4 linked regions of the Lonchura striata genome follow. The main gene of each other region encodes a partner of the protein of the gene in region 2 in a complex. Links are inferred from orthologs where the notes say so. Each region holds a gene or a part of one and is shown on either strand. Other genes may lie near its edges.

Evidence for each region.
Region 1: CACNA1S (region 2) and CACNB2 share a complex: the UniProt entries of both Homo sapiens proteins name them as parts of the calcium channel complex. The link is inferred for Lonchura striata from reciprocal best matches to the Homo sapiens genes CACNA1S and CACNB2.
Region 3: CACNA1S (region 2) and CACNB3 share a complex: the UniProt entries of both Homo sapiens proteins name them as parts of the calcium channel complex. The link is inferred for Lonchura striata from reciprocal best matches to the Homo sapiens genes CACNA1S and CACNB3.
Region 4: CACNA1S (region 2) and CACNG1 share a complex: the UniProt entries of both Homo sapiens proteins name them as parts of the calcium channel complex. The link is inferred for Lonchura striata from reciprocal best matches to the Homo sapiens genes CACNA1S and CACNG1.

The regions. Positions count from the first base shown.
Region 1 is NC_134603.1:137,020,049-137,027,142, reverse strand, and holds the start of CACNB2 (voltage-dependent L-type calcium channel subunit beta-2), read right to left. Parts: upstream 3,007-7,094; 5' UTR 2,914-3,006; coding exon 2,815-2,913; intron 1-2,814. UniProt on the Homo sapiens protein: Beta subunit of voltage-dependent calcium channels which contributes to the function of the calcium channel by increasing peak calcium current. Plays a role in shifting voltage dependencies of activation and inactivation of the channel.
Region 2 is NC_134632.1:1,007,236-1,014,532, reverse strand, and holds the start of CACNA1S (voltage-dependent L-type calcium channel subunit alpha-1S), read left to right. Parts: upstream 1-4,295; 5' UTR 4,296-4,524; coding exon 4,525-4,685; intron 4,686-7,297. UniProt on the Homo sapiens protein: Pore-forming, alpha-1S subunit of the voltage-gated calcium channel that gives rise to L-type calcium currents in skeletal muscle.
Region 3 is NC_134629.1:6,104,320-6,112,276, reverse strand, and holds the start of CACNB3 (voltage-dependent L-type calcium channel subunit beta-3), read left to right. Parts: upstream 1-4,951; 5' UTR 4,952-5,038; coding exon 5,039-5,080; intron 5,081-5,229; coding exon 5,230-5,322; intron 5,323-6,371; exon of another isoform or gene 6,372-6,416; coding exon of another isoform or gene 6,417-6,422; intron 6,423-6,899; exon of another isoform or gene 6,900-6,937; coding exon of another isoform or gene 6,938-6,979; intron 6,980-7,957. Other genes in the region: ADCY6 (adenylate cyclase type 6), read right to left, coding at 1,191-2,024. UniProt on the Homo sapiens protein: Regulatory subunit of the voltage-gated calcium channel that gives rise to L-type calcium currents. Increases CACNA1B peak calcium current and shifts the voltage dependencies of channel activation and inactivation.
Region 4 is NC_134621.1:8,799,514-8,807,149, forward strand, and holds the start of CACNG1 (voltage-dependent calcium channel gamma-1 subunit), read right to left. Parts: upstream 3,003-7,636; 5' UTR 2,901-3,002; coding exon 2,660-2,900; intron 1-2,659. UniProt on the Homo sapiens protein: Regulatory subunit of the voltage-gated calcium channel that gives rise to L-type calcium currents in skeletal muscle. Regulates channel inactivation kinetics.

The sequences.
Region 1 (7,094 bases), on a different chromosome or scaffold from region 2:
TACCATGAAAGGCATTAATGTGTTATGGTATATTATAAACAAATCATAGTAGTACCTGGGTTAATTAAAATTATTAAAATTAATATTCTACTAATTCAGATTCCTGAAAATAGGGGTTCTTTAAATAAGGAACTAAAGAGAAGACTGTGGTTGATTTAAAAAAAATACACCAAAAAACTGATCACCAAACACTGGTACATTTGAAGAGTTTGCTTCTTTTCTTTCAGAAAACCTAATGCTGATTTCATTACAAAAGGGCCACACCTAAAACCACCAGTTTGTACTGACATATATCTAGACATTGTGAATAAGTCCACAGTGTAACTGGTCAGCATGCAGATTTGTCTGGATAAAACTGGACATCTGAAACTCTACTGCAAATCCATCTAAGACCAAGATACAACTGGGACTAAGATCACACTGAACTAGAACTAGAACTATGTTTTTACAATCATATGGACCTAAAAGCCATAGAATTTTAGTTAATACAAGAAAAAAACACCAATATTTCGTCCCAGTTGCAAAGAACTTCCCTGGAAAAATACAGTATAACTGTCATGACCAACACCCAGAGAGATTTTCTTTTGTTTGCAGATCTTGTTAGGAAAATGCATTATGAAAATAAGAAATAGACTTTCCACAGATGTTATCTAGGAATATTTCACATATTTAACTGCCTTTTAAGTGAACTACTTCTAGAGTGTTAACTACATTTCATGCCTCTGCCCCATGGTGACAAGTTTGGCCAAAATGGACGGACAGGCACAATCCAAAATACTGACCATGATGTTAAGATAGATTAAAAGAAATATCAGCTTTGCAAAAGTAAAATTTTGGATAAGAGAGTTGTTGTGACTTGGTACAACTCTACAAAGGCTGTCAATAATATTTTCTTAAATCATAATTCCCAGAAGAAGCACTTCAGAGTGAACACTTTTAGGAGTGACATCACTCCATAAGTTCACATGCTGGTTTGGGTTTTTTTCCCCTGACAGATTATTTGGCAGAAATGTTTCTAGGATTGATATTCAACTACCTTAGAGAAAAAGACAGTGGTACACATATCTGAAGTACCTGTAGGCAATCTACTTGATGATTCACATGTCCTCATTAAGCCTCTCCTTCTCACTGTGAGTGTGTTCTAAAGCAGCAAGATTTTACAATATTGGGGTTTTTTAAATGTTCATGGAACAAAAATTCAAATCAAAATAATTGCCTCTAAATGCAGCACTTGCCAAGAAATTAACTTGCAGTATTATTCAGACAAAAGGCCCTTTTGTTTCCATAACTTTATTTCCTCTCTACCAAGGGTTTATGTATGACTAAAACAAGTACATAGTGAGAAGATGATTCCTGATCTGCCTGATGACTTTGATTCCAAAACCTGAAAAACATCCCTGAACTAAAAAGGTGCATTATCACTGTCTCAAAAAGTGAATCTTTTTGGCTGTGAGTGTTCAGAAACCTGTTTTATAAAACAGAATATAAATGCATTACCTGAAACATAAATAACGTGGGTGTTAGCAAACTATTCTTCCTCTCTAAAGAGAGGTTTTTCAACCCTAGCTTAAAGGAGGTTGAGAAATCAATTTTATGATTGGTATTTGACATTTGTCCACAGCAGAGAGATACCGTATGATTTGAAAGTTGCTGAATCTGTGCTTAGGGCTATACAGACATAAAAAGGGGGGATTTGTAGGTCAAAAATTAGCTCCATTGCCACTGTTTCTGGAGAAGCTGGCAAAGCATATGGCCCTCCTGAAATGTCTGTTCTGTGCTTGGAGGCTACTGACATCCAAAGAGACACTTTCTCTTTTTTAGTTTAACCTCCTCTCTGCCTTAGTGCCTGGATTTTGTTCTGCTGTCACCAGGCCTGAGTATGTAAAGATCAATCACCACGACTGTTGACAGACTGATGGCATTTTTCTCTGTCAATCAAGAACTACTGGGATGGAGCTGGTCCACCTTCTCAAACAAAGCATCAGAGACAGCTTTGGCAGCAACAGTAAAAACCGCACCCCAAAAAGGAAAAAACCTCTGTCCTAAGAAGATAATGCATAATTGAAATCTGAAATTGACACAATCAGATTTTACCACCCTTTTATGGGTTCAAAAACAGCACTCTGAAGTCTTTGTAACCAACTATTGCAAACTTGAAGATACTAAGCAACATTCATACATTAAACAGAAACAACCTTTCAAAATATGAAGTCTTGTCTAAGTAAGCCTTACCCTACCTCCTTCTCATCACCCATCCACCCGAACACTGCAAATGAACTGAGTTGTTAAAATTTCTGAGACGACTGCACAACCACCTTCTGCATGAAAATCGAGCAGCTTAAATCTGCAGCATGTTCAACACCTTCAGCCTCCCCAAAATTCCTGCTGAACAACTGGCGTGAATCGCCTTCTCTCACCTACAGACTGTCACCAGCCCGTGCAGCAGACGAGGGAGGTTCAGCCGTGCGTGGTAAGCATCAGGTACAAATACAACAGGTTACTGGAGCAGGGAAAAATAGCCGTACCCTGCAGTACACGTGCGGAAGATCAGCTTAAAAGCAATGTATTCTTACATACTCATCCTCCAAATAATCGCAAGGTTCTTTTGATTTACGATGCTTCTATGGCACAGAGCATCCTATGTGTGCTAATTAAACGGCTTTTGAGAGTGGGGGCGAAGACAGGGGTTTCGGGCGCCTTAGGGGAGCCGTCAAACTTTTCTGCCGGCGGTGCCCGAAGTTGAAGGACGGGCCGCTCCGGGCCCTGCCCGCGCCCCCGCCCGCGCCGCCGCAGCCCGGCCGAGCCCCGCCGTACCTGCGCTGCCGCCGCCGCGGGCAGGGGGTTGTCCAGCAGCTCCATCTGCACCTCCTGCGCCGGGCTGGGAGGCGATTTGGACATGTCGCTCTGGACCATTGGCGAGGAGAGCGGGTGGCTGGGCGCCGAGCCTCTCGGCGGGACAGAGCCGTGCTGAGCCGAGCCGAGCCGAGGCGAGGCGAGGCGAGCCGGGGCGGCGGGCGCCGCTCAGCGCCCGGCCATGCCGAGGAGCGGCGGGCGGCCCGGCCCTGCCCTGCCCTGCCCGGCTCCGCTCCGCTCCGCTCCGCTCCGCTCCGCCCTGCCCTGCCCGCTGCCGGCGGGGAGCGCTCGGCGCCGCGGACGGGGCAGCGCCGGCGGCGGCGCGGGGGAGGGCAGGGGGCGGTGCGTGGGGAAGAGGGAAAGTGACAGCGAGCATCTCCCTCCGGCGGCGCCGGGCGGGGCGGCGCCGCATCCGCGCGGCCCAGCCCGAGCGCGGCCGAGCGGCGAGCAGCGAAGTTGGGGCTGTGGCCGGCGGGCCGGGGGGCATCAGGCCCTGCTTTTCCCTTCAGCCCTGCCCGGCGTCTCAGCCTGGCCGCGCGGCATCGCCTGCCTCAGCGCGCATCGGCTTAGACCTGTGCTGTTAGCGAGCGAACCGGCGCTTCGACAAAGTTCCATAGGTCTCTTGTGTTGACAGGGCTTTTTGGAGGTTCCTATGCACATATCAACAAGAGATGAGTACGATGAAATCCGCTGTCGAATTTTATATAACCTGTGAGTGTACGATCTCAATCGTGCTATCAGGTACCCCACAGGAGGCGCTTGAAACACCTGTTTGAAACCTGATCCGGCAAAATCACCCTCCACCGCTGAGATGATCTTTCATTTCTTGTGAATGAGAGATCATTTTGGTCCTTATAGAGACCAAACTCTCTGACCTTATGAAGTCCACAATGGACTGATACCTTTCTTCCACTGGATGGGACCTAGCTGTGCCCCATGCAGCATGAAAGGGAAACTTGTGTTTTCAGACTCACTATGTGATGGTTTGTGAAATATCCTATCAGCTGATTGTAAACAGTGAAAACTAAGTCTAGAAACTGACTGGCCTGGTCACACAATTAAAATCACAACCATTACTAAAAGTAATAAAAGTCACTTTCAGGAAAAGAAGCCAGCAAACCAAAGCCAGCACAAAAGCCAGATCAATTTCAAAAAGTACTTTCAAGCTTTAGCCAGATTGCATGGTTGATTTATTTCATTTTTCATAATAGCTAATAAGCTTCCTTTCTGAATTAGTTTACCCCTATGGATTTTCTTATATGAATAGTGAAAATCTTACAGGAACTGCCCATTTTTTTTGTGAAGAATTAGCTTTGTCTGCAAGAGGAAGTGCTCTGACGTTTGAAGAACTTTCACTTGTCCATAAAGTTCCATATTTATTTTTGAAGACAATATTTCAAAATTATTTTCTAGAATTTTAGCGTGTTGTCCATGAAAAAACACAACCTTAATTTAAAGTGAAAATTGTGGGGTTTATTGCTTAACTTTCTTTCAAGTAACGCAATAGACATGTTCAACAATCTTGAAACTATAAAGATGCTGGAGTCTGGACTGCTTCCAGATGTTCTTCAGGTGGTTATAACCAAAAAGATATTTTATTTTTAGATATTTGGTGTGAAAAATTCATACTTCACCATCTAGTAGAGGCTTTGAAGTAGTTATTTCTTTGACACTTACAAATTAGATTGTTTAAATTTAATTACTTTTTGTAATTTACTAATTTTGTAATTTTACTCATTATAAAGGAATTTACTGAAAAGCCTAAACACAGTATTCGTGTTAATGATTGCTAGGTGGTGTATTGTTATTGGAAGATGTTGTCTTTGAATTTCTAGCACCTTTATGGCTTTGGAACAATTTATCCTTCTGTATCAAGACACTCTAGGAAAGGTACTTGACGATCCACCATGATTCAGTACATTTACTTGGTAGATTTTCAGGCATCTGTCAGGGATTGCCTGCTCTTTCTCACACAGAGAAGGTAGTGGAAGTCACTTAATCATGTAACAGTGGCCCTTCATGTTGCCTTCTGGATTTTCACTTTGTAAAGAGTGTATAAACAGGAGCATTTTTTAAGTATACCACCCTTCTGTAAGAGTAGTAGTGATTATTTTTTAAATATTACAGTTTCTAAAACCATAAATTGTGAATCTGGATTGAAAGAGTATTTCTACTCTCCTATAAATTAAAGCTTGAATATGTCAGTTGAAGTTCATTTTTTGTATGCTCAATCATGTCTTTTATGATTAGTTTGTCTTTTTTTTCCTTTCCATTATAAAAAAATAATGGTAATGATTTTGCTTGTTTATGTACATACATAGAGGTTCTGTAGAAAGAAAAGACTCAGGAAAGAAGTTTCACCTCACACACACACAAATAACATCTGAATTTTTAGTAAGTTTATTTGGTTTTTCTTTCTGAGGAAAAATATTCTACATAACTGTTCTTTAGCAGCAATTATTCATTGTCTTGATGTAATGAGTGGCTAGAAGATTAGCATAGAAAAATAACTGTATTTTATTCTGTTTCACCCCTTCTGTTTAGCAGTTAATCCAAGTTCTCTAACCTTGAAATGTGCAGTGAAAGTCCTTCAGCTGAACACATATGCATACAGTCATCCTTCTGCATGCTGTTTTTGGCCACCTCTGCTCCAGGAGAAGGGTCAATGTGTAAAAACAATGTGCAGAGATTCTAAATTGCTTGCTTTTTCTCAAGAGAAAAAGCAACCTGGTATGCCTAACCCCTTCTCAGCAGAAAACCACCCTGCTGCATTTATTTACACTTTTATCTGCAACGAAGAGGTGTTGTGCATGCTTATTTGGATTTTTATAAACATGTAAATGTTAGAAAACCAGAAGAAAACACAGGCTGTTTTGTTCATAGGCCCTTTTTCTTTCTTTAAAAAAACAATCCCAAAAGCTTAGGCTGACAAACAACCTGATTTGGGTGCCAAAAATAGCTGGATTTTTTTTTTTGCATGAGAGTTTAGATGTTCTTGTAAAGCAAGGAGGACTGTATTACTGTGCATATTTAATTGTTCTTTACCATCAGTATAAGAATGTGGTGTCAGCACCATGTTCTAACCTTTGTACCCATGTATGGCAGGTACATGTTTGGTTTAGCCTATAACTATCACCTAAATGTACAAAAAATAGGCCAAGGAAGTTTGGCTGATATTTGTGCAAATGCAGCTAAAAGCTAGTAACTTAGACCCAAGGGATTTCTTTAAAAACTTGCACAAATACAAACCAGTGAGCTTACAATAAATTATTTTTATGAAACTATATAAAATGCTTTTAACTGAGCATATATTTAAAGCCCTGATATAGAGAATTTCTCTAGGTCTTTCAGTTAAAAAGAAATGCTGGCTGTCTATTAGTCTGTGCCACCTCCTGCCTAAAATGAATTGTAGCCAGAAATTCAATATTGTAAAAAAAGAATTCACTTGATTACACAGTTTTAATATCTCAAAACAGATACGGTTAATCTTTTTCGGTGATAAACTGGAAGCTGCCTGTCGCAAGTGCAAGTTAAAGGGATTCCTCTTATTTTAGTACTTTATCTTTCACACAAGTCTGAACAAAGCCACTCCAGACGGGCTCACTTTTGAATCCGTTATCAGTCTGTATCAGAGCACATCACCTGGCTGGATTTAATGAACTGATCCATTCTCCCAGCTCGTGTTTATTATGTTGTATTCTTGGATATAAGTGCCATGCACCTAAGACAGCCTTGACTGATACTATTACAATGTGTTCAGGAGAAGACAGGATTGGAAGGAGGAGGGTTTCCATATGACGGAAGATAGGAGCAGTATATAAACACTGGTAAAAATGCTCTTAAAACACAGAAAGGCTCACAATACTTGAAAAAGCCACAACACCTACTAAGCACATATTTTCAGCCCTTTGCAAAACGTGACCAAAAAAGGCACGCTCCCTCTCACAAGCTGTTCACTTTGTGAGAGGCAAATTTTCTGTCGATGGGTTGTACACAAAGTTCATGTTTGATTAAGCACTTCTGCAGAAGTTGCTGGTTTCAGTTGATTTTTTTTTTGCTTTTTTCTTTGCTCTCCTGTCATAACTGAGACTGCATGTGTCCTTTTGTATCCCAAGTCCTTACCAACTATGGTGTTCCTATTTATAGCATCATTTTTCTCTTATTAAATACTTGAATCACAAGAGCACAAAAAGGCTTTATAGCATTCTCACCCACAAATATGTTCAGCCCATGTGAGTTAC
Region 2 (7,297 bases):
AGGGCATCAGCGCCCCTGCCTGCCCGCGGCTCTCCCCGCGCCTCTCCGGCCGCGGGCACCGCCAGCCCCGGCGCTCGCTGCCGCCCGCACCTCGCAGCCAAAGGCGGCCCGAGCTGCTGCTCCGCTCCCGGGAGCGAGTCCCGGGCGGGGACGGAACCGCCCGGGCCCGCAGCAGCTCCGGCACCGAGGGCGGGCGGAGCTGCGGGGCCGGGCAGGGGCGGCGGACGAGCGGCAGAAGGGCTGGAGAGCGGCTACGGCAGCGTTTGGCTCGGCTCGGCTCGGCATGGCACGGCTCGGTTCGGCTCGGCACTGCTCGGCTCGGCTCGGCATGGCACGGCTCAGTTCGGCACGGCTCGGCACTGCTCGGCTCGGCACTGCTCGGCTCGGCTCGGCACAGCTCGGCTCGGTTCAGCTCGGCTCGGTTCAGCTCGGCTGAGCATGGCTCAGCTTGGCGTGGCTCAGCACGGCTCGGCTCAGCTTGGCTCGGTTCAGCTCGGCTCGGCACGGCTTGGCTCAGCTTGGCTTGGCACGGCTCAGCTCGGCACGGCTTGGCTTGGCACGGCTCAGCTCGGCTCGGCTCGGCACAGCTCAACTCGGCTCGGTTCAGCTCGGTTCGGCACGGCTCAGCTCGGCTCGGTTCAGCTCGGCTCGGCATGGCTCAGCTCGGCTCGGTTCAGCTCGGCTCGGCATGGCTCAGCTTGGCTCGGCTCGGTTCAGCTCGGTTCGGCACGGCTCAGCTCGGCTCGGTTCAGCTCGGCTCGGTTCAGCACGGCTCAGCTCGGCTCAGTTCAGCTCAGCTCGGCATGGCTCAGCTCGGCTCGGTTCAGCTCGGTTCGGCACGGCTCAGCTCGGCTCGGTTCAGCTCGGCTCGGCACGGCTCAGCTCGGCTCGGTTCGGCACAGCTCAGCTCGGCTCGGTTCAGCTCGGCTCTCGGTTCAGCACGGCTCAGCTCGGCTCAGTTCAGCTCAGCTCGGCATGGCTCAGCTCGGCTCGGTTCAGCATGGCTCAGCTCGGCTCGGTTCAGCATGGCTCAGCTCGGCTCGGCTCGGTTCGGCTCGGCACGGCACGGCGGCAGGAGATGCACCTGCGGGAGTCAGGCCCCCATCACAGCCCTTCTCTGTGGGACCTTCGCAAGGCCGTGCGCTGATGGAGCGGGAGAGGGACAGGCAGGCCCAGGAGGGTGCGAGGAAGAGGAGTGGCTGTGAGGAGGCTCCACCAGGAGGAAGGAGCCGCTCGCTGCCGGGCGGGCAGGGAGCGGCCCCGTCGGCACAGCGCTGTCCCGGGTGCGCCGGAGCCGTGCCGGGTCGGGTTTGGTGCCCCGTGCCAATCAGAAATTAGAAAACCTGAGAGAAGGCTCACATACTGTGCAGCTGTATGCAAACCCTGAGATGAGAAATGCTGACTTAGAAATGCCATGGAGTAAGACAGACGTTGTTGAGAGACAAATGGAAATAGAAACAAGTTTCAAAGGTTTTCCTTGCAAAAAAGACTAGATACTTTGGAGAAATAGAACTATGAAAGATGCATTGTAGTAGGACCCAGGAGGGGTAATTTTAGATGATTTGCTTTAAGGCATTTGCAGTATAATGTGGCAAATCTGATAGGCCATTATAGCTGATAATTATATTGTAATTAGGAAATAGTTGGCTTTTGATTGTGACGGCATGAATTATAACACCTGCATTGTCTCACCCTTCACGTGAGACTGAAAATGGGATAAAAGTTTCTAAAATGCCTCTCAGCTGCCCCATCTCTGGGTCAGAAAAGGGATTAATCCGACATGTGCCGACAGCTCCCGGCGGGGCTCAGGGCGGCTCAGGGCTGTGCGGGCCCGGAGGGGCTGCGGGGATGCCCTGCCCAGCCCCGGCCTCCTCCTCCTCGGGTTCCCGGTGTCCCGGGCAGATGTTCGTCCTGGGCACCCCCGCTATCTGGGCCCCGCGGCCTTGCAGACCCTGCACAGGCTCTTCTGCACCGGCACCAGCGGGAATAGGGCTCCTGGCTTGTGCTTAGGGTTTAGGGGGATATGATGGCTGAGTGAGAAGAGGGATCTGCCTCACAAGGAAACGGACCCCGCAGCAGAAATGATTTGACTCTGATTTGCAGAGCAGAGTGGTGTAGAAGGGGGCAGATTGCTGATTTAACCCTACTGGAAGCTGCCCTCGGCCACGGCGGGGGGTTTGGGATGAGATCGTCTGTAAGGTCCCTTCCAACCTAAGCCATTCCATGATTCTATGAACCCCTTCACAACTGAGGGCATCCTCCTCCAAAGTACATCAAAACTGGCTGGAGCAGCTGCAGGAGTTGCTCTCCCTGCCCTGGGCTCCCCCGTCACTCCTTTCTGGCCCCCAGCACAGCTGGCTGCACACCTGGCAAGCATTTCTGTCCCTGGTAGAATGACTCCACAAAGCCAGGGAGAGGAAGCTGCGAGCAAGGCAGCGCAGTGCTGTGGGTGGAGCAGCACCCTGGGATGCCCGAGGTGGAGCAGGGCACAGCTGGGCAGTCTGTAACAGCTGTAACAGCTGTACAACAGGGATGCCAGGAAAGCCCCAGGAAAACCCCCATGAAAACACATCTGGTGCCTCAGTCCCCTGCTGAGGAAGGTGCTGATAACCTGCCTCTCTCCTTAGCTCAGCTCAGGAATTTCCATACCATTCATCCAGTCAGGCTTTCCCAAGCCCAGCAGAGCTTGGCAGGACACAATCCAGCCTAGTGATGCTTCAGGTTTTGGCTTTTATCTTTTTCAGATTCTATTCTGCTTTAGTGTGTGGGTCTGGGCTTCATATTAGTGGATGGTGAGCTCTTTTCACAGAGTGGGGAGACAAAACAATTCCTTCTCTAGCTGGGGACCCAAGGACAGCTGATCCAGATCTCAGGTCCAAGAGCATAAACCATGTGGGCTGAAGAGAGAAAAACAAGAAGGATGGGACTGCATGGGCTGGGGCTTTAACTGGACAATTAACTCTAATATGCAAGTGGAGCAAAACATATAAAAGTGTGAGACCCCATGACCAGTCACCCATTTTGGGACCATTTTGGGTTGTGCTGCCCAAGGTGAATGTATTTGAGACCTCTTAATAAATCCCTACTTTATTCTTTAGCTCTGTCTAGTCTCTGTTCCAGGTCAGCCTTCACAAGGCAGCACTAGGCTGGTTGGGTTCCTGCATCCCAGACATCCTCCACACCCTGCATGCAGGACTTACCTCTGTAGGGCTGAGCAGGTGGTTGTTCAAATGACCAGTGCCAGCCAAGGGTTTCCTCTGTGCCTCCAGAAAAGCAAGCCTGAGCAGGTTTTGGACTCACCATGATTCCCTGGAGCTCTGAGATTGGGCTGTCCAGCCAGTGGAACGGACCAGCCTCGCTGGCCCTACAGCCCCAGTATGCCGTGGTGCCGGCAGAGGTGTGCACCAGCTGCAGGGGAGATCCTGCACAGGAGGGGCTGTTGCATCGCTGTAAGCTCCTCTCGCCGCAGTTCCCCGAGCGTGGCGTGCTGGGCGGCGAGGGAAGAGAACGGGCGGCCGCTCCCCCTGTGAAACTCCGCTGTCCCAGTCGGTGGTGCGGGGACAGACGGAGGCGACACGGGACTTGGGGGTGAACAGGATGGTTTTACTCAGTGAGCCCCAAGACCCCCTTGAGAGGGGGGGGCAAAGGTTTTATACAAGAACTCAGGAGGACGGGTGTAGGAACAGTAACCAATAAGGGAATAGCAGGGCAGGAGTTTAGGGCAGGACTAACATATCACAAACCTATCAGGGGAAGCAGGGGAGTGGAATAACACAAAGTAAGTAATAGGGTGTTGAGCCTCACTAAATAGACAGGGAATGCTCTGGAAGCAGGGAAGGGAGCTAGGAGGAATGACAGGGAAGGTTCCAGGAAAAGGGGTAGGGAAAGGGAGGATTGACAGCTTGGAGAGGAGAGGGTTAGGGAACAACTGGGGAGAGGAGGAGATTAGGGATGGGGGGGAACAGATATTGAACAAATATCAAATTAAAGAAGAGACACACCACTGCAAGGGGCTGATGGGGTGAGGGGGGGGAAACTTCCTTGGGAAGTGGCCAGAGCTGGCTTCTCCATCTCCCCCTGCACGATGTGATTCAGCAAATGCACATTGCCCCGGGCAGCCCGGCTGCTTCCCGGTGCAGGTGGGGACCTGGGGACAGATCTGACCTGGGGCACAGGCGCTGCTGTGTCGGAGCAGAGCCCAGCCCAGGCAGCCTGTCCCACCCCCAGCCCAGCCAGTGGCACGCCAAGCACTCGCCCAAGTCCCCATGTGCTGGGTACAGAGGGAACAGCTGCAGGGGCCCTTCTGCTGCCTCAGGAGCTGGGACAGCACCCAGAGCCAGGCCGGGATCTAAATTTAAACTCATGCTTTGTGTGTTTGTACATGCGAGTGCAGGCTCCAGCCCCCACTCCCCCAGCACCCCCCTGCTGCACGGAGGGCCAGAGGAGCTCCAGCCGGCGGGGACCTGGGGAAGGGGGGCTCCACTGCAGGGCAGCAGGGGAAGAGACAGCTAGGGGAGCAACACCATGGAGCCCTCTTCTCCCCAGGGTGACGTGAAGAAGAGGCAACAGAAGGAGAAGTCCAAGAAGCCGGTACCACCAATAGCTCCTCGTCCACCCAGGGCTCTGTTCTGCCTAACCCTGGAAAACCCCCTGCGGAAGGCGTGCATCAGCATCGTGGAGTGGAAGTATCCTCTGGCTGCAGGGCTGGGAGCAGTGTGTGTGTGTGTGTGTGTGTGTGTTTGTGTGTGCCTGTGAGCATGGCAGGGCTGCTGTGGGCACCAGAGCTGCCAGCCTGTTTCAGGCTTGTGCTGTCTGAGGCCTGTCAGAGGCAGCGAGGAGCTCAGGGAGCCTGTAGGATGCACTGGCAAAGGCAATGGCAGTGCTGCCAGGGCTGCTGCGGAAAGCTGGGACTGAGGTGTAGGTCATGGGGCTGAGGAGTGGGTCATGGGGCTGAGGGGTGGGTCATAGGGCTGAGGGGTGGGTCATGGAGATGAGGAGTAGGTCATGGAGATGAGGAGTGGGTCATGGGCTGATGGGTGGGTCATGGAGATGAGGAGTGGGTCATGGGGCTGACGAGCGGGTCATGGAGATGAGGAGCGGGTCATGGAGATGAGGAGTAGGTCATGGAGATGAGGAGTGGGTCATGGGCTGATGGGTGGGTCATGGAGATGAGGAGTGGGTCATAGGGCTGAGGAGTGGGTCATGGAGATGAAGAGTGGGTCATGAAGAGTGGGTCATGGGGTGAGGAGTGGGTCAGGCCATGGGGCCTTTGGTGGGGTTGGACAGGGACAGCCTGGGGGAGGTGAATGTTTTGTGTGTGTTGTGTGCTGGGAGCAATGTGGGACAGACAGGTGAGAGGGGAGGGGGTTTGGTGTGGCAGGAGGGGGCCCAGTGCCCATGCAGGGGTGGGGATGGGGTCAGGCTGGGGACAATGTGATACTCTGGAGTTTTGGGTGTGGGTAGGAAGACCCTGGTGAGTTGCTTGGGATGGCTCCTTGTGTTATCACAATCTGCCTGATCCCACAGCTGTGCTCCCAAATCCTTGCTGCCACCATTGTCCTCTCAGCTCCCTCTCCCATCCCTCCCCGGTACTGCTGTCACCGGTGAAGGCTTTTTGTGGGTGATGTTGTTCAGAGGGATAGTCTTTCTTTGTGCCTTTGGCTTAGTATTGTAGTTTGGGTGTTGCTTTTTGACCTTTTCACTGGGGCATTGTCGCTCAGAAGTACCAAGATGTCATGTTCCTGCCATGCATCCAGAACTATCACTTTGTTCACCTGTGTTTTATGTAAAGGAAGAGAATGGGAGATGAAATTTTTCACTTTGATTTCAGCAAAACTTTTGGGCTGTAGCAAAAAAGATGGACTGGGGAACAGAGTCGAGTTCTTCCACCACATCTTTTCTCATTTCTGTTGCTGAACCTTATCTGAATGTTCCTGGCTTTGCCAAGATGATCCCATCCCTGGCCAGGCTTTACTCTGGGAGGTGGCTTGGTCACCTTAGACTGGCTGTGTTGCTGTGGAGATACCAAAACCATGCCCAGAGATGCTGCTTTGCCCAAAGCCCAGGGAGCCTCTTGGCAGGCATGAGGTCACGCTCACAGCCCTGCTGGTGCTGGAGTTTGAGACCTCATTCCTTGACTGCAAGGGGACTCTCTGTCCTCCAGGGAGTGGAGCAGGGCCAAAACTGAGGAGTTCTCATTTTGTGTGTCTCTGGCAGGAGAAATGATGGTTCTGTGGGCGCACAGAAGGGAACTGTGCCTGTGTCTTAAACGGGCACTGAGAAAGGAGGGGAACTTGTGTGAATGCCTGAGTGGCAGTGGAGGAGCTGGAAATAGGATTTCCATCTTGCAGCATGCTCAAACACATTCCTCCTGCTGGGCCAGCACGTGCCAGAGCAAGTGCACAGCACAGGGAGGGTCTTCCCTACCTCGGTGCTCTGGGGGGACGAGTGGGTGCCCCACAGAACGGTGGCATGTGCAGGTGGTTGTGACCTGTGCAGGACAAATGATCCAGGGAATCAGGTTTCTGCAGTGCCTGGCTGTATTTATACCCAGATGCACCTGGCTGCCCTCACTCAGGGATCAGGGTATGTGACATGGTCGGGTCGTTCCAGTTCCTGGGGTTATTATGGTCTGCAGGGACATGCAGGCTGCCAAGGGGAGATTAGCTGTGAGCCTCTGGTGTGGGGGTACCTGCCTGTAGGTTCCAGTGGCAGTATGTGCTCCTGCTCCCTGGGCCCAGCACTGCTGTCAGAGCACAAAGCTGAGCCACAGGGTGGGCAAGGGGCTTTTCCAAGCAGTTGAAGGGTGGGGACCATCATTCCACTCAGCCCAGGGTGGGTGGAATGCTGACTTGAGGCAGAGGGTGTTTTGTGCTGAAATTTGCTCAAGAAATTCAAGAAATCTGTTCATTAGAACAAGGAAATGGAATGTTCTGCAGCTTACTGGGTGTTGTGTACAAGACAGTCCAACAACCTGATAGTTGTTGGGGCATGTCTGGCTTTGTGACACCACCCTGGTATTTCAGGTCAATCTGTAGCCAGGAGAACTTCAAGGCAGATGGGTGAGGACTATCGGGAGCCTGGAGAAACACAGAGCTGCAAGACACAAGGTCTAATTCCTGCTGCAAGGCAGATGTGGGGACCCTTGGATGCTGTGTGGTGGGAGCATGCTGGGCAGGAAGCAGTTAGACTGCAAGACAAGGAGATGAGGAGGATGCTGGGGCTCTGTGGCAGGAGGCAGACACGCTGTACCCAGTTACCCACATGGCTGGTTTTTTGGTTCAGTCTGTCCCACTGC
Region 3 (7,957 bases), on a different chromosome or scaffold from region 2:
CATGGGAAAACAGGGCAACGGGGCTGCAAGGACATGGGGGACTTGGGGCTGTGAGAAACCAGGGAACAGGGGATGCAGGGACCTGGGGACACAGAATGGGGGGTAAAGGGGACAAGGGGACACAGGGTGGGGGGGCAAAGGGGACACAGGGTAGGGGGATCACAGAGGCTTGGGGACAAAGGGTAAGGTAGCAGAGGGCACTTGGGGACACAGGGGACATGCATAGGGTGAATGTGGAGGACCTGGAGACCCAGGGCAGGGGGAACGTAGGGATGTGGGGTGTAGAAAACCAGAGCGGGGGGATCTGAGGACACAGGAGCCAGGGGTACATGGGGTCCTGGAGCACGGGGGTCATGGGGACGCCCTCGGGAAGCAGAGGAAGTCAGAAAGCAGAGATGACTGCGGAGGGAGCTGCGGTTTCCCCCAACCCCATCCCCCGGGACCGGGGCCAGGGCTATTTATAGTGCTCAAGCACACTGGGACACTGGGAACAGAGGCCTCGCATCCCCTCCCTGGCCCCACTGCATCCCCCCAGAGCCCCATCGCTCCTGCCCTGAAGGGGTGAACCCTCCCCCGGGGGAGCGGCCCTTCCCGTGACCCTGCTGGCCTCCGATGTCGTTGTGTTCCTCGCCCTGTGCCCCGCGGGGACTGCACGTGGCCCTGGCCCTGGCCAGGCAGGGCGAGGGTGAAGGCTGACGAGTGGCTCTGCTCACTCAAGGAGGGGGAGCTGCTGGGGCTGGGAACATGTGGCCCTAGGGATAGGGGACCCCTCTGCACCCCCCTGTGCAAGCAGCATTCTGCTAGAAGCACCCACCACCTCAAAGGGGCAGGACAGGGGACACTGGCAGTGTCCCAGCCCCCCTGGGTGACAGCCACTCCCCTGCCCTGGTGCCCTGGACTTGCTTCCCTCCTCGGGGGTTTCCGCCAGCCCTACAACGGGGGCTTTGTGGGTGCCCCTTCCTCCCGGTGCAGCCCACAATGGTGGGTCTGTGCCGGCATGAGGGGCCCACCCTGTCCCACCACGGGACCCCAGCATGGGATCTCTCCCCGGGGGTCCCTCCTGCATCTAGAACTTTCCACCAGCAGAAACATCCGAGTGAAAAAAAAAAAAACCCAAGTTTGCAGAGCAGGATTCAGGGACATGAGGTCCCACCTGCAGGTGGGTGGGACCCTCCCAGGCGTGTCCCTACCTGCTTCCAGAGGAAGGGGTCGGCAGCGTTGCGGTGCCAGGCGATGGCGAGGTGCAGGGCGGAGAGCAGGACCCCGGCCAGCACGGCCGCCCTCATCCGCACGGGCAGCAGCGTGTAGGTGATGTAGATGAAAAAGACGCTCCACCAAACGCCCTCGGCCGCGCTTCGGGGCGCCACGGCCACCGTCCCCAGCGCCTGCACCCCGGCCAGCAGCCCCAGCACCACATAGCTCACCACCCACATATAGTCCTGGGGGAAGGCGCTGCGACTGCACAGCACCATGAGGAGCAGGAACAGGGCTGTGGCACCGGCCAGCGCGGCGGCTGCCGGCACGTGGGGGGCACCGGGCAGGCAGAGGAAGAGCAGCATCACCCCACAAACCAGCACCAGCACTCCCATCAGCACCGTCAGGCTGCTCTGGTTCATCTGGAAGAAGTAGCGCTGGTAAAGCCGCTCCAGTTTGGCCGACTGGAAGCGTTTGGAACGGAAAACCTGGAGCAGCCGCCGCCAGCACTCTCCGGCCGATGGCCGCCCCCCGTGTCCCCTGGCTCCCTTCGGCCCCTTGGCTTCGCCGTCTTCCAAGCCCGTGTCCACCGATTTGAGTCCCAGGTCGCCCGCGGGCCCCTTCTTGCCGTAGTGATCCTCCTGCCAAGTGCAGCGCAGCCCCCGGGGGGGTCCCGCACCCCGCTCCATCTCAGGGTCCTGCAGGCAGCTCATGTAGCGGGGCCCGCAGAGGCCGGCTCGGGGCCGGGGGCCCTTCTTGCCGTTGCGCTCCCCCCATGCCGTCTTCCGCTCGTCCACCTTGGGCACCAGGATGCCGCTGAACCACGACATGCTGCGGGCACCGAGGAGGAGTCAGCGCTTGGTCCCCCATCCTGACACCCCGACGGGAGCCCCGGTGTCCGCGGGGGTGCGAGGCCGTGCAAAGACCGGAGGGTCCTGATGTCCCCACCGCTACCCTGGGGGATGCAGAGCCCAAGTCCCGGCTCTCCCACTGCCCCCATGGCGGCTGTGGGAATGGCCAGTGCTGGGTTCCCTGTGCCCCAGTGTCCCGGTTCTGGGTGCCCGGTGCCAGAATCCCCGTGCACAGCGCTGGGTTCCCGGTGTCGGGTTCCCGTTGTCCCGGTGCCCGGTGCGTGGCCCTGTGGAGGCCGCCCCGAGCCCGCCCTTCCCGGTGCAGCGACCTGCGACAAAGCTGGGACCGACCCGGGCGTCCCGGCCCTGTTTGTCTTGAACAGCGGCCAACGGGTTTTACCGGGCACGGCCGCCCCGGGGCACCGGGAACGAGCCGGGACGTGGCAGCCGCTCTCTGCTCCGGGCGAGCGGCAGTGAAGAACGGCCACCGGGAAGGGCCGGCCCTGGTGGCGGCGGCCGCCTCCCTCCCCGCTCCGGGCACGGGAGCCCCGCCGAGCACGGCCCGTACACCGGGACCCACCAGCGCCCTCCGGCCGCCGCGACGGACCCTCCCAAGCACCGGCAGCTCCCTCCGGCCGCCGCACCGGACCCCGCCGAGCACCGCGCAGCCCCCCGGGGCCGCACCGCTGCCGCCGCCCGGGGGCCCAGCCCGGTGTCGCCCCACCGCCTTGATCCCAGTTCCAGTCCCAGTCCCGATCGCGGTCCCGGTCCCGGTCCCCGACGCCGCCGCCGCCGCCCCGATCCACCCCCCCCACACACCTCCCGCCGCTCCCGGTTCGCCCGGGCGGCCCCGCTCACCTCCGCCTCCGGCGCCGCCGGCCGCGGGGCCCCGCGCCCCGCCACGGCCCCGCCGCCGCCCGCTCCTACACGGCGGCCGCGCCGCGTTCCCGCCGCCCCATCTCGCGCCCAGGCCGGGCCCCCGGTGGCGGTGGCGGCCCCGGTCCCGGTCGCGGCCGCGCAGCCCCGGCCCGCCCCGGCCGGTGCCCGCCCCCCCTCCCCCCCCCCGCCCGGATCCGCTCCCGGGCGCTCCCGGCCGGCGGCCTTAAAGGCGCAGCGGCGGCGGCGGGAACGGCCCGGTACGGCCCGGAGCGGCGGGGGCGGACTCGCACCCCGGGGGCTGCGCACACGCGCACGGACACACGCACCGACATGGCGGGGACACGCGCGGCGGGGCCCCCCGTGTCCGCACAACACCCCCGAGCGTGTCACTTGCACACGCACCCCAGTGCCTTCCCCTTGCACACCCGCCCCGCGCACATCCCGGTACCCCCGTTGCACAGGCACACACTGCACGCCCTAGCACACGCGTGTTGCACCCACACGTGTGTGTTCACACGCACACGAAGCCCCCTGCACACCCGTGGCGTGCACCCACCACCTTGCGCACACCCCTGCACGCTCACGCACATCCCCTTGCACACGCACACACAAACCTTTGCACACGCGTTTTCCGTGCCACACATAGATATTGCACATACACAGCCTCCTCGCAGATTTACACGCCCTTGCACACACACACGCACCCTTGCACACTCAGGCAGACCTGTTATACACTGACACATAAACCCGTCTATATTTGTGTGCAAACACACGAATCCCCGTGTCCACACACCTGTGCACGCCTTAGGCACGGCAGACGTGCACACAGGTGCGGGTGCACACATGCAGCTTGCACACACAGCCCTTGCACACGCAGCCTGGCACACACACAGACGTTCACAGGGGCACGCACCCACCTTGCCCACACTCCACACACTTCATACACGCTGCCTTGCACACACACACGTACACTCACCCCTTGCACGCTCACCTTTACACATACACAGCCCTTACACACACACCACCCCCATCTTCATACACACAGTCCTTGCACACCCCTCGTTATACACCCGTCACACACTCACAGCCCCCTTTGCGCGCACCCTCACCCTGACACACCCCTTACACACTCACAGCCCCCCTTGTTTGCACACACGCACACCCCCCTTGAGGATGCCTCCACATTTCCGCGTGCCCTCGTGCCCAGCTCGGCGCAGGGCACCCCCTCACTACGCTCCCCGCACCCCCACGAGTGACCGTGGCACCGGCCCTGCCGTCCCCCCGTGGCAGAACCCCCCCGTGCCCCCCTTCCCTCCCCCGCAGCGGCGCCGCCGGGCCGCGCACCCCCCCCGCCCCGGCGCCGGGCCCCGGGGAGCGCTGATTAATCATTAATTAGGAGCCGCCGGCGGGGCCGTGTCCCTGCGGCCCCACGCGGAAGTCTCGCCGCGCGGGGGACGGGGGAGGCCCACGCTGGGGCTCCGTGGGGCTCCGGCTCCATGCCCGGCCCGTTGTCCCCTTCTGCCCCTCGGGTCCGGCGATGTTGAAGCACCGGAACCGGCCGATACCGTGGGCATGGCGGGGACACGGGGAGTGGGGTGGGTGGGCTGCGGCCCCCCACGGCCCCGCCTGCCCCACGCGGGAGACTTTGGGGGCGTAACCCCGCGCGGGGGGGGGGGGGATGATGCCCTGGCGTGGGGGTGGCAAAAAGAGCCGTGGAAGGGGCATGGCGCCTGCGGGAGCCGTCCCGGTGGGATGCGGGCGGAGGGGCTCTGGCTCCCGCATCCCCGCACACGCGTGGGCAGGGCTGCGGCGGCCCCGGGGGGCTCCTCTTCCCCGGGACCGCGCGGCCGGCCGCCGCAGCGCTGCGGGTTGTGGGCAGGGTCCGTTGCCGGTGCCTCCCGGTGGCTGCCCAGCTGCGGGGGCGCGGACCGGCCGCCGCGGGGATGGGCGCGGGGGCGGGCAGGCGGGGGCGGGGACGGCCGGGACGCCCCGGCGGCCCCGTGTGATGCGGAGCGCGGCAGTGGCGGCGGCGCGGCCCTTCCCCGCGGAGCGCCGCGGTCCGGTGTGGGGCTGCCCCGCCGGGATCCCCGGGGCTCCGGTGGGTGCCGCCGGGGATGTCCGCCCCGGCGCAGCCTGATGCTTCCGGCTCCTTCCAGGTGAGCAGAGCGGAGCCCTCCCGGCCGTCGCGGGCCCCGCGCGGCCCGGTTCGGTTCTGTCCGCAGAGCCGGTGGCCGCCGGTAGCAGCTCCGCGGCGGGGCCGAGCCGCCCGGGGCCGCCCGGTGCTCACCGCCTGCTCTCGCCGCAGAGCCCCCGGAGGCTCCCGAAGCGCAAGAGCCGCTTCAAGCGCTCGGACGGCAGCACCTCGTCCGACACCACCTCCAGCATCCTCCGCAGGCAGGTGAGCGGGTCGACACCGGCACCTACACCGGCACCGAGACCGGCACCGGCACTGGGGCGGGGCAGCTCCGCCAGTCCCGGGTCCGCCGCTGCTGCGGCTCCGCATCAAAGCACGGAGCTGGGGTGGGGAGCGGGGAGCGGCCGAGCGTCTCCCACCCCAACCTCCGCACTGGAGGGAGCTCGGGGGCCGCCTCCGCCCCGCCGCTCCCCCGGGACCGGGGCTGGGCGCCGGCACCGGGCGCCGGTAGCATCGCAACAGCCGCTCCCCACGGCTAAAAATAGCGAGTGCTGCGTCAGGGCCGGGCCGGCGGCGGGCACCGGCACTGCGGCGCGGGGGGCGGCCCCGGGAAACTGAGGCAGCGGAAGGGGAACGGGCCAGGCGGGGCCGTAGAAGGGGCCGCGGGGCTCCCCTCCCGCTCCCTCCACCGGCACTGGGCCGCCTCCTCGCTCTGCCGGGGAGAGGCACGAACCTCCCCGCCGCCCCCCAACCGGTGCTTCGGTTTCCTCCGGCCCCGAGCTGCGCCCCCTCCCCGGCCGCCGGCGGGTGAGCGGTTACCGGGGAGGCTCCGCGGAGGGCGGGGGGGTCCTGTCGGGGCGGCCCCAGGAGGCGCAGAGCGGCCGGAGCATCCCGTTCCCATCGTGGGGTAGCACCTGCTGTACCGCTACTCCCCGGTACTCCCGGGGACCCCGCGACCCGGCTCAGCACCCGGCGCGGCCCCTTCAGCACCTCGGAGAGGGCCCGGCCGGGCCCCGCCATGTGCCCGGTACCGGGGCCCGTTCTCCACGCCTGGTGCCCGGTGCAGGTGTCCGCGGCCTGTCCCGCCGCTGTCCGAAGCCCCCACCCAGCGCTGCCCCGTTGTTCCGGGGCCGGCCGTGAGCTGTCCCGGGCCGGTCCCGCCGGGGCCCGTCCCGCTGCGCGGTAACGGGGCGGGCCGGCCCGGTCCCCCGGGGCCCGTCGCTGCCCCCCTCCTCGGGGGCGGGGGGGGGGGGGGGCGCGGCGGGGGGGCGGGAGCGGCTCCGGCCCCGCCGCAGGGTTCGCCCTGCAGACGGGGCTGCTGCCGGCTCGGGGCAGGACCGGAGCCGCTGCACCGGAGCATGGAGGTACCCACCGGCACCCCGCCGCCGCCGCCCCGGAACCCCGAGCGGCGCGCTGCGGGAGGCTGCACAGCCCCTCCGCCGCTGCCCCGGGACTCCCCTCTCACCCAGAGCTCTCTTAGCAAACTCTCCCCCCGCCCCGGGCCACCGGGAGCTGCACCGGTGACCCGGCCGGGTGCAGCTCACCGCGGCCGCTCGGGTCTCCCGGCTGCCAGCGCAGCCCCCCCCGCAGCGGTCCCCACCGGAGAGGGGCCGGAACCCCCCGCCAGCACCGGGAAGGGGGAACGGCGACCCCCAACACACACCCACCCACTCCCCCCCCGGGCTGAGCGGCGGGGGCGGCTCCGTGCGCCCCCGGGGGGCGGTGGGAGGCGGGGGCGGGGAGGGGCGGGGAGGGGCGGCGGCGGCGGAGCGGGCAGGGCCAGCCGGAGCCCGAGCCGCAGCCGGAACCGGAGCCGGTGCCGGTGGAGCGGGGCGGGGGGGGGGGGGGCGCGGGCGGTTCGGCTCGGCTCGCCCCGTCTATGTCGTTTTCTGACTCCAGCGCTACCTTCCTGCTCAACGAGGTACCGGCTCCGGTACCGGCTCCGGTACCGGCCGCGCGATCGGGGGCGCCGTGCGCGGGGGGCCGCGGTCGGTTTTGGGGGGAGCTGCGCCCCCCGGGTTGGTGATGGCGCACGAGGGGGTTGTGCCTCGGGGGTGCACCGTGCCCGGTGCGGGGCTCATGCCTGCTGCGGGGGATGCTCTGCCGCCCCCCAGCCCTTTGTTCCTCGCCGCCGCCACCGCTCCCGTCCCTGTCCCCCCCCGCCGCAGGTACCGCCGGGACCGGGACCGGGCGGGAAGAGAATCCCGGTACCCCCGGCCGGGGGCCCCGCGGGGGCCGATGCTCCAGGCCGGGGGGGCTGCATGGGGGGGGGGGGGTCGTGCATGAGTGGGGGGCTGCAGATGCTGTCCTGGGGGACTCGTTGGGGATGATGGCGGTGTTGGACTGGGGGGGGTCGCACCGGAACGCTGCGGAGCCATCCCGGGGATGCTGGGGGGGTGAGGGATGCTCGGGGCGCGGTGACGATGCTGGGGGGGCCGTGCTGGGGAGGCCATGTTGGGGGGGGCTGTGCTGGGAATCCGAATTGCCCGGGGGGGGGCGGAGGGGGTGCCCAGGCTCCCCCCGGTGCGAGCGGGCCGGGATGTCCAGGTTAACGGGGGGGCGGCGCTGAGCTCAGCCCGGCAGGGCCCGGGGGACCTCGGTGGGGGGGGGGGGGGGGGGGCTCAGCCACATTCAGGGGCCTATAAATATTTCACCGCAGCTTCTGCGCCTGTTCCCGGCGCAGCGGGCGGTGGGTAAATACCGGCGCGGTGGGGAGGGGGAGCCGGGGGAGCAGGGCTGAGCACCCCAGGGTGGAGGGCGGCAGGAGGAAGATCTACATCCCAGCGTGACAGGGGTCATCTCCCCATCCCTGGGCCTGCGGGGGTGTCCCCCGTGAGCCCCCCAGCACGTGGGGGCTGCACCCCAGGGCGGCCGTGCTGGGTGATGCTACCCGACACAC
Region 4 (7,636 bases), on a different chromosome or scaffold from region 2:
CCATGAGATGTTCAGGCCACACAGAGTTTTGGGTGGCAGCTGTCCCCTGTAAGCATTGGAGTGCCAGGCTGGGAAGGGGCTGGAGCCCACCTTGCTCTGGAGCCCCAGATGGACAGAGCACGGGGAGTTTGTGGCAGGGTGGATGGTTGGAAAATCCTGGGGTTTCGTGTGGGGTTTCCACTTGTGATGAGTTTGGGAGACAGGACCTTGGAGGACGTGTTAAGGTGAGGGCTGAGCCCTGGAGGGGGCCAGGCCTTGGGCTCTGACCTGGCTAATGAAGCCTTTGACACACACACGGGGAGTTTTGGAGATTATCTCTCCAAGCAGTTTCATTTCACACCTGTCTTGCAGGGTGAGTCTCGTGTAACAGGGGACAGAGCCCTGCTGGCAGCCCATTTGTTCAAGCACTTCTCTCCGGTTGCCTGTGCTCAGGTTCCTGTATTTACAAGGACCTGTTTGAGCTGTTGAACACCCCTGGTGCTGCCCAGGAACCACTTTTCAGCACCAGCACCAGAGTTACAGGCAGTGACACTGAGCTCCGTTTACAGCTGGCAGTAAAATGCCCTAGTGCCCACTGACCACAGTTAAAAATGTCTCAGTGTTAATCTGAATTTGTCTGGTTTTAACAACCATCTCCCTGATCTTTTTATTTGTTACAGCAGGATGCTGAACCCTTTTCAATTTGTCAACACCCTCGGATGGGTGCTGTAAAATTTTAAACCTCTGCCTAAATCACAGCCCTGCTTTGTGGACTGCGAGCCAAATCATCCTCCCCACTCTGCACTGCGCTGAGCTCAAAACCTCATAAATAACGTTAATCATGCCATCCATTTCCTCCACAGGGAGTGACTGGTAAATGGTTATTAATTCAGTGATAAATTCTGATGCCTCTTTCCCAGTCCTGGCAGTAATATCTGGTTATATCTCATGATTTTCAGGAAAAGCAGCGCCTGCATCTGCTCTTTTACTGCGCGTTTGTTCATTCACATTTTCTTGGCTGCTGCAGGTTTCACAACCCTGGTGTTTCCCTGCCGACATCCCTTCCCAGAAGTGTGAAATCAATGGAGCAGGAGCCGTGCGGCCGCAGCCTCAGCCCCGGGGCTCTTCTCCCCTCCCTTTGCTCTCATCCTTCCCCGGCTAAAGCAGGGATGAAGGTATTTACGTTATAATTGAGGTGCGAATTTCACCCTCTGCAACGTGGTTACGATGCAGGCTGTCATCCGGATTCGCAAATATCTTTAAAAATGGGACGAGCCAGCTCTGGCGTGGGGCACAGCCCAGCCCCTCCGCAATTCCCAGTCGCTCTGTGCCTGGCGGAATGCGGCGCTGGGATGCGATTCAGCGTCTGTGCGAGCACATGCTGATGTCTGTCAAAGATAGCGGCTGCTTCCCTGCGCCCTGCCTGCGAATCTGCTTTGTGCAGACAGCTGGATATTTATGAGTTTTATATTTACCCCACGGTCGTGCAGTTTTGCTGTTTACCCACCAGTTTCTATTGTTTTTCCTTTTGTGGGAGTTCTCGGTGCGTGGGGGAAGGCGTGCAGCGAGGAATGCGTCTCTAGGCACGTAAGTACCTTGCTGAGAGACATTAAGCATATGGATGACACACTCCCAAGTTTGGTTAGAGGCAGACCCACATGCTGAGGCTCAGCTCCTCTCTTCACAACATGTAATTTGGCCAAAGAGATAAAGAATTGCAGTAATACGGGCAATATACAGTCAGACCAAGCAGGAAGATTTTTCACAGGAAATTTTCAAATATGTGTTAACATATATTTCATTTCAAGCAGCGAGTCTAACACGAAAGCAATCCTGTTATTTCTGTTCTGGAAGGCATCCAGTACCCTATAAGCCTTCTAAAAAAGCAGCGTGGCTCAGTCACAGAGGGAGTGTATTAGTGCAAACGGCGTGGATGTTGCTGACTTGGCAATCAGCAAAAACATAATGAGCTCCTTTAACCATGAGAATGGAGCAGCCTTCCCGGAAAGCTGCCGTGCCCACTGCCCTCCCCATCGATTGAACTGGAGGGGAAGACGTGTGTGGGAGCTTGTGCCTCTGGTGAGAGGTAAGGAGGTTCCCTAAGTCCTTGAGAAATTGATTCAATCTCCATTTATGACTCTTTTGTTTCTGGAAGTTGACAAACCATCCTGCAGGTCCCTCTCCCTCCCTGCCCTGAGGAATGGCTGTTACTGGAGCAGCTCAGAGTTAACCCAGTGCCCACCGTGGGTGGGCTTTTCCTCTGGGATTACATGGATCTGGAAATCCACCAGCTGTGTTTGGTGGACCCGTAAATCCTCTCTCTTGCCTGCTGCTGTCAGCGTGCCTGTAGGACCCTTGGCTGGGGTTCAGCAAGATTCCCTCCATCCCAATCTGCCGTTGTGATTCCCACTGTGCCCAATCCTCCTCCCCTTCTCCCCACCACTGTCGCTGCTGCACGGGAGACTCAAACATGGTCACAGACAGACCAAGGCAAGGCAGCAAAGCAGCCCCAGCAGGAGCTGGCAGCGAGGTGTGTTTGCACACCAACACGAAAACAGCCCCGTGCACCCCATCCCAAACTTTCCTTTCTGCCGTGAGGGACGTGGAGCCTATTTCCCTTTGCCACGTCCTCCAACCTCCTGAGCAAAGCCTGCTGTGAGTCTGCTGCATGCTCACGTACCTCCTGGCAGGCTGATGGGCCCACAGCTCTTCTCTTTGGGACCTTGCTCCTGCATGAAAAGGCGCTTGGTGCAGAGTCTCCAGAGGCCGAAATGCGCCGCCTCGCAGGTGGTGGTGTTCTCCTCCACGCTGGGGCTGAGCACGGCCCAGTGGTCGGTCACTACGGCCGCGAAGAGCAGCGAGATGCCCACCAGGATCACGGAGAAGGTCAGCCGCACCTTCAGGGGTTTGCTCTCGTCCATCTCGCTGCGGGCCGGCGCTCCCAGCGGAGCACGGCGCGGGGTTCGCCAGGGCTCCCGAAATCCTGGCGCATCTGAGAGCCTGGAAATGTCATCCCCGGGCTGCAGGCAGCTGCTGGGCTGTGTCAGGAGCTCCCGGGGCACGGCTCAGCTTTCGGCCCCGGCCCACCCGGGCGCTCGCCGGAGCGCAGGGGCTGAGGGCTCTCCACTTGCAGCATGCCCAGAAATAGGCATTAATAGGATGATTAACTTTTCAGCGAGGTTATAAAAACATCTGTGTTTATAATAGTGCTGGGCCTGAGTGCAGACTGATCCTAAACAGCATAATAGCCCTGGAGCTCTGTCACCCCACGCCTGCGGCTCACAGGAGCTCAGAGGTGGACCTGCCTCCAGAGCCCAGAACTGTGGCAGAGAGTGATAAAATAAGCCAACTAGTCTATGTCTATTTTATTATTTATTTGTATTATAGTTATTTTTATTCTAAGCTTTTATAATAATTCTTAATTAACATGAACTATTATGAGCTGTTGGGGGCTTTTTGTGGGTTCCAAGTTTTTTTTTTGTTGTAGTTGTTTTAGTTTTTTTGTGTCTTTTTTTTTCTTTTTGTAATGCAATACCTCTTAAATACTTGTTTGCTTTCCTATCAACCAGGTTCCCCTCAATACCTGCAGTAGCTCCAGCAGCCACCCAACACATCCATTCCTTTCTCCAGAAGTGATTTCTCTCTTAAGCACAGGTTGCTGGAGCTGGGCCAGCCTCTCTCCTTCCCTTTGATATTTCAGCTGATTGTAAAGCCAATTTGATGGTAATGTCAATGCAGAGGCCACTGTGGAGGTGACATTACAATTGTGATGTCAAACTGAGGAGGGTGACAGTACCTGAATGTTAAAAGAATGGTTAAAAAAATGCCAGTGGAAAGCTGCAAATATCATTGTGTCAAGATAATGTCAGAGCTACTCCAGTCCTGCTTTATTAACACCCCAGTTTGATGTCAAAATAAAGGTGCAGAGGTGTCAGCTCAGGTTGATGAGGACAATGTGGAGCAAGGAATTAAAGTGTAGGCAGAGCATGGGAAAGGGAGAGAAAATAGTGTAAGTTTAAAAATATTGGTCCAAAATAAATAACTGAAGTATGACTTGGGTTAACATTACTCTGCTTGATGTGTGACAGGGATGGCTTAGACACCCCTGTGGGGCTGAGGGACATGTGGGCACCTAGGATGGCATCTGGAGCCCCATTCTTGCTGGGACGTGGGGACCAGTGAAGGTACCTGGTGCAAAATTGGAGGGGAAGGGGACCAGGGAGGGCAGTGGGGACATGGAGCAAGACAGGGACCAGGGACCACAGCCCCATGCTGGGGCTGGCAGAGATATTAGAGGCTTCCATTTAAACCAGAACCAAGAGTGAAAGCAGAAAGACCTAAAGGGAGCAGACTTTAAGCCAGAAAAGAAACACATGAAAGATGTAATGCCTTTTCCTTTGAAGTAGACTCTTGTTAAATTTCGCTAGACATCAGTTGATCTCAGAAGCTGCATCTCAACTTCAATTCCTTGATGCTACAAACTCCACAGGTGGAGCAGAGGGAAGTGAATGTGTGTTTGCAAATGTGGGCACACAGTGAGGCTCTGGTTGCTGGGACATCAAGTGCTAATGATCCTGCTTTAGACTAATTACAACCTACAAGGACTGCAGGGGTGGGAACTCATTAATTTTTTTCACTGGCGTTGGTCTTTGTGCCTCTTCCAGTGTTGGCAAGAATCACACTTTTTGTTCTCATTTAGTCCTTCATTCTTGAGAAGTTCTATGGGCTTGGTTTGGCTTTGAGTTTCCTAATTTCCAGGGAACAACTGAAGTGAAATCAGAAGTGAATAATTGGTCCTTCCCTACTGCTGAGTGGAGCTGGGAGTGTGAACAGGTTTCAGTGAGCCCCAGCATGGGCAGCAGTGGCTTCCCAAACTCACATTGCTGCAGCTGAGATTAAACACTCTCTCCAGCCTCCAAAAATTACCTAGAACTGCCAGCCCATGGGAAAAAAAATGGGTTTTGTGGGTTATTTGTGGGCATTTGGGAAATGCAAAAACAAAACAGATTTCTGGAGGAGCACAGGACTAAAGCAGACCCTGGAAATTTTCTGCACATCCAGAAGATCATGATGCCTAATCCTCTGGGAATGGTTCCTGCAGCCTCCCTAAGTCAGCTGGTAAATATTCACATTTAAAAATCGGTATCACATGAAAAATAAACAGACTATTAATGAGGACCTGTTGGAAAGCAAAGAGGGCTGCAATTAGTTGCACTTTAGCAGCAGTGAGTGAGGGACACAATTCTGTTTCTCTTCTGGAGAAAATGCCAGAGGAGGCGTCTGAAGCCCAACTACTGTGTTGGTTTTGTTCCCTGGCAGAGGTGGTGACTTGGCTCTGCTCCCCAGCACTTGCACTCTTCTGTATTTCTTTCAGACCAGCCTCAGCATTCAGCACGAGCAGATTAACCTCACTCTGTGGTTCCCTGCTTGCAGAACAATGCTCTGCAGAAAACCCATCCCAGTCAGAATAACCCAGAGAGGGGCAGGCAGCACCTGCTCTGCTCTCAGCTCAGATGGGAGCTCAGCAAAGAGCTTTCTTCAAACAGGGTCTCCTCAGTGCTATTTGGGCTCCCCAGCCTGCATTGCCCCAGTGTGGTGAGACCAATGGGATCGGGGTGGGTTCTGCACAGCCAACACCTGGGAATGGCTCCAATGGTACCCTTGAAAGCTCCCCGATTCCGGGGCGGCAGTCATGGAACACAAGAGCTGAATGTGGGAGTTTTGGCTGGCTGTTGTATTTTGCAGTAGACTCCCAGCCTGCTGTGTGTAGCTGGCCATCCCTGCTGCCCCTATGAGTGACCCAGAGCTCCGAGCTCCCAAAATACCGCGGGCGGTGCCGCTGGGAACGCGACCCTGGCTCTGGAGCGCGGCAGCGCTGGCTGAAAGCCGAGCTGGGCTGCAGACAGATGCACCAACTCTCCTTTCCCTTTTAGACACAGGCACTGCCCGTGTCTGTCGGTTCTCTCATTCCAAGGAAATGCCACATCCTCTTTTTTCCACTTTCTGAAGCCTGTCTCTGCTTCCCCCCTCCTCAAACATCACTTTTCCCAACACCCCTGTTCACAGCGAGGCAGCCACAGCTCCTGGGGTCACCATTTACCCACGGACTTGCTCATAAATGTGGGAAAAACCTTATTTTTATTTCAAAGAGGAGCAGCTTTGGGCCTGAGCTTTAAATGGCTTCACTACGGCGTGTCAGAGGCGTTTGAAAAGATGAATCCTCTGCCGCCCTCCAGACGTGCCAATTCATCGTGAGCCTGGGAGAGGTGGGCAGAGACAGGCAGCCAGTCCTCATCCTTGGAGACAGTCTGGAGGCTGAGGAGCTGGGAGGTGAAGTCGAAAGAAGTATTTGAAGGAGGAATCCTGTCTGTGATTCAGGGATGGCTGGGGCTGTCTGGGGTGGGGAGAGGCTGACCCGCGCTTGGCACCGCTCGTCCCGCGGGACGTGGTGGTGCTGATCAGAGCAGGGCTGCGTGCTGCTGCAGCACCTGGGCCACGCTTCCTTCAGGCAAGATGGGAAAGATCAGGGAGAGGAGGATGCTCCAGGTGAGCTCAAAAGAAAGCTCAAAAGCCTGAGGAAAGCTCAGGCTCAAGGAGGCACTTCAGAATACACTGGGTTGTTTTCCTCAAGGGTGGTTTGCAGTGGCCTCTGGCCACCACACCAGGCTCAAACTGGGCACTGAGAGCACTGTGTACCCATATGGGACAGGTTTAAGCTGGAAACTAGAAGGTTTTTCTTAATATCCAAGCAACTAACCAAAAATATAGCGAAGGTAGATAATCTTGGAGATTTTGTGGTCTTTGGGACCACAAGAATAATTTTATCTCCTCTGAAATACTGGCACCCAGTAACATGGCCAGCTGCAATCAAACAGTGAAAAACGTGAAAAAATAACCTGAAATCTCAGCTCAGAGAATTTGGAAATTAAATATCTATATACCTTTCTCCACACAAAACCAAATACATTTAAAATGGTTTATTTAAAAAGTAAGGATTAAGTACATTATACATGGTTGTGATTATACCAGTAGAACTGAAGCACAGTGGAAATAACACTTTAGAACTGCAGACAGAAATGTAGCCTCAAGGGACATGATATATTAGCCCTTGTGGATATGTGATCCATACAGAGAGAAAAAGAAACAGAAAAATAGTTTATTGTTAGATGTCTGGGCAGCTGAAGTGATTTCTGCTTTTACTCCTATTGTGTATGAGAAATAAGGAAGAGAGAGCTCATGGTATACCTGAAATTTTGTTTCTTGGAAAATCAAATCTGATCCAATAGCATTTTTTTTTTTTTTTTAGTTCTGCTGCTACAGTATGTTATATACCAAAAGACTGATTATTGTTAATGATATGGTTTTATGGTATCTGCAGGCCTTGCTGGGAAATGGGGCTCATTTGTTTGATGCTGTCCAGGAAAACCAGAGAGCTGTGGAAGAACAGACGATGTTTTTAAACTATCACTGAGTGGTTTCAAATCACAATCTAACTCTGTTCAAATACATCAACCATGGAGCAACACTGCTCATGGTCAGGAATGCTGCAAATTTTTCAGTTTTGTCAGAATCAAAGTTTTTAATGGGACAGGACTGGGGTTTTGATTTTTTTTTTTTTGTGGTTTTGTTGTTTTTGTTTTTGTTTGTTTGTTTGTTT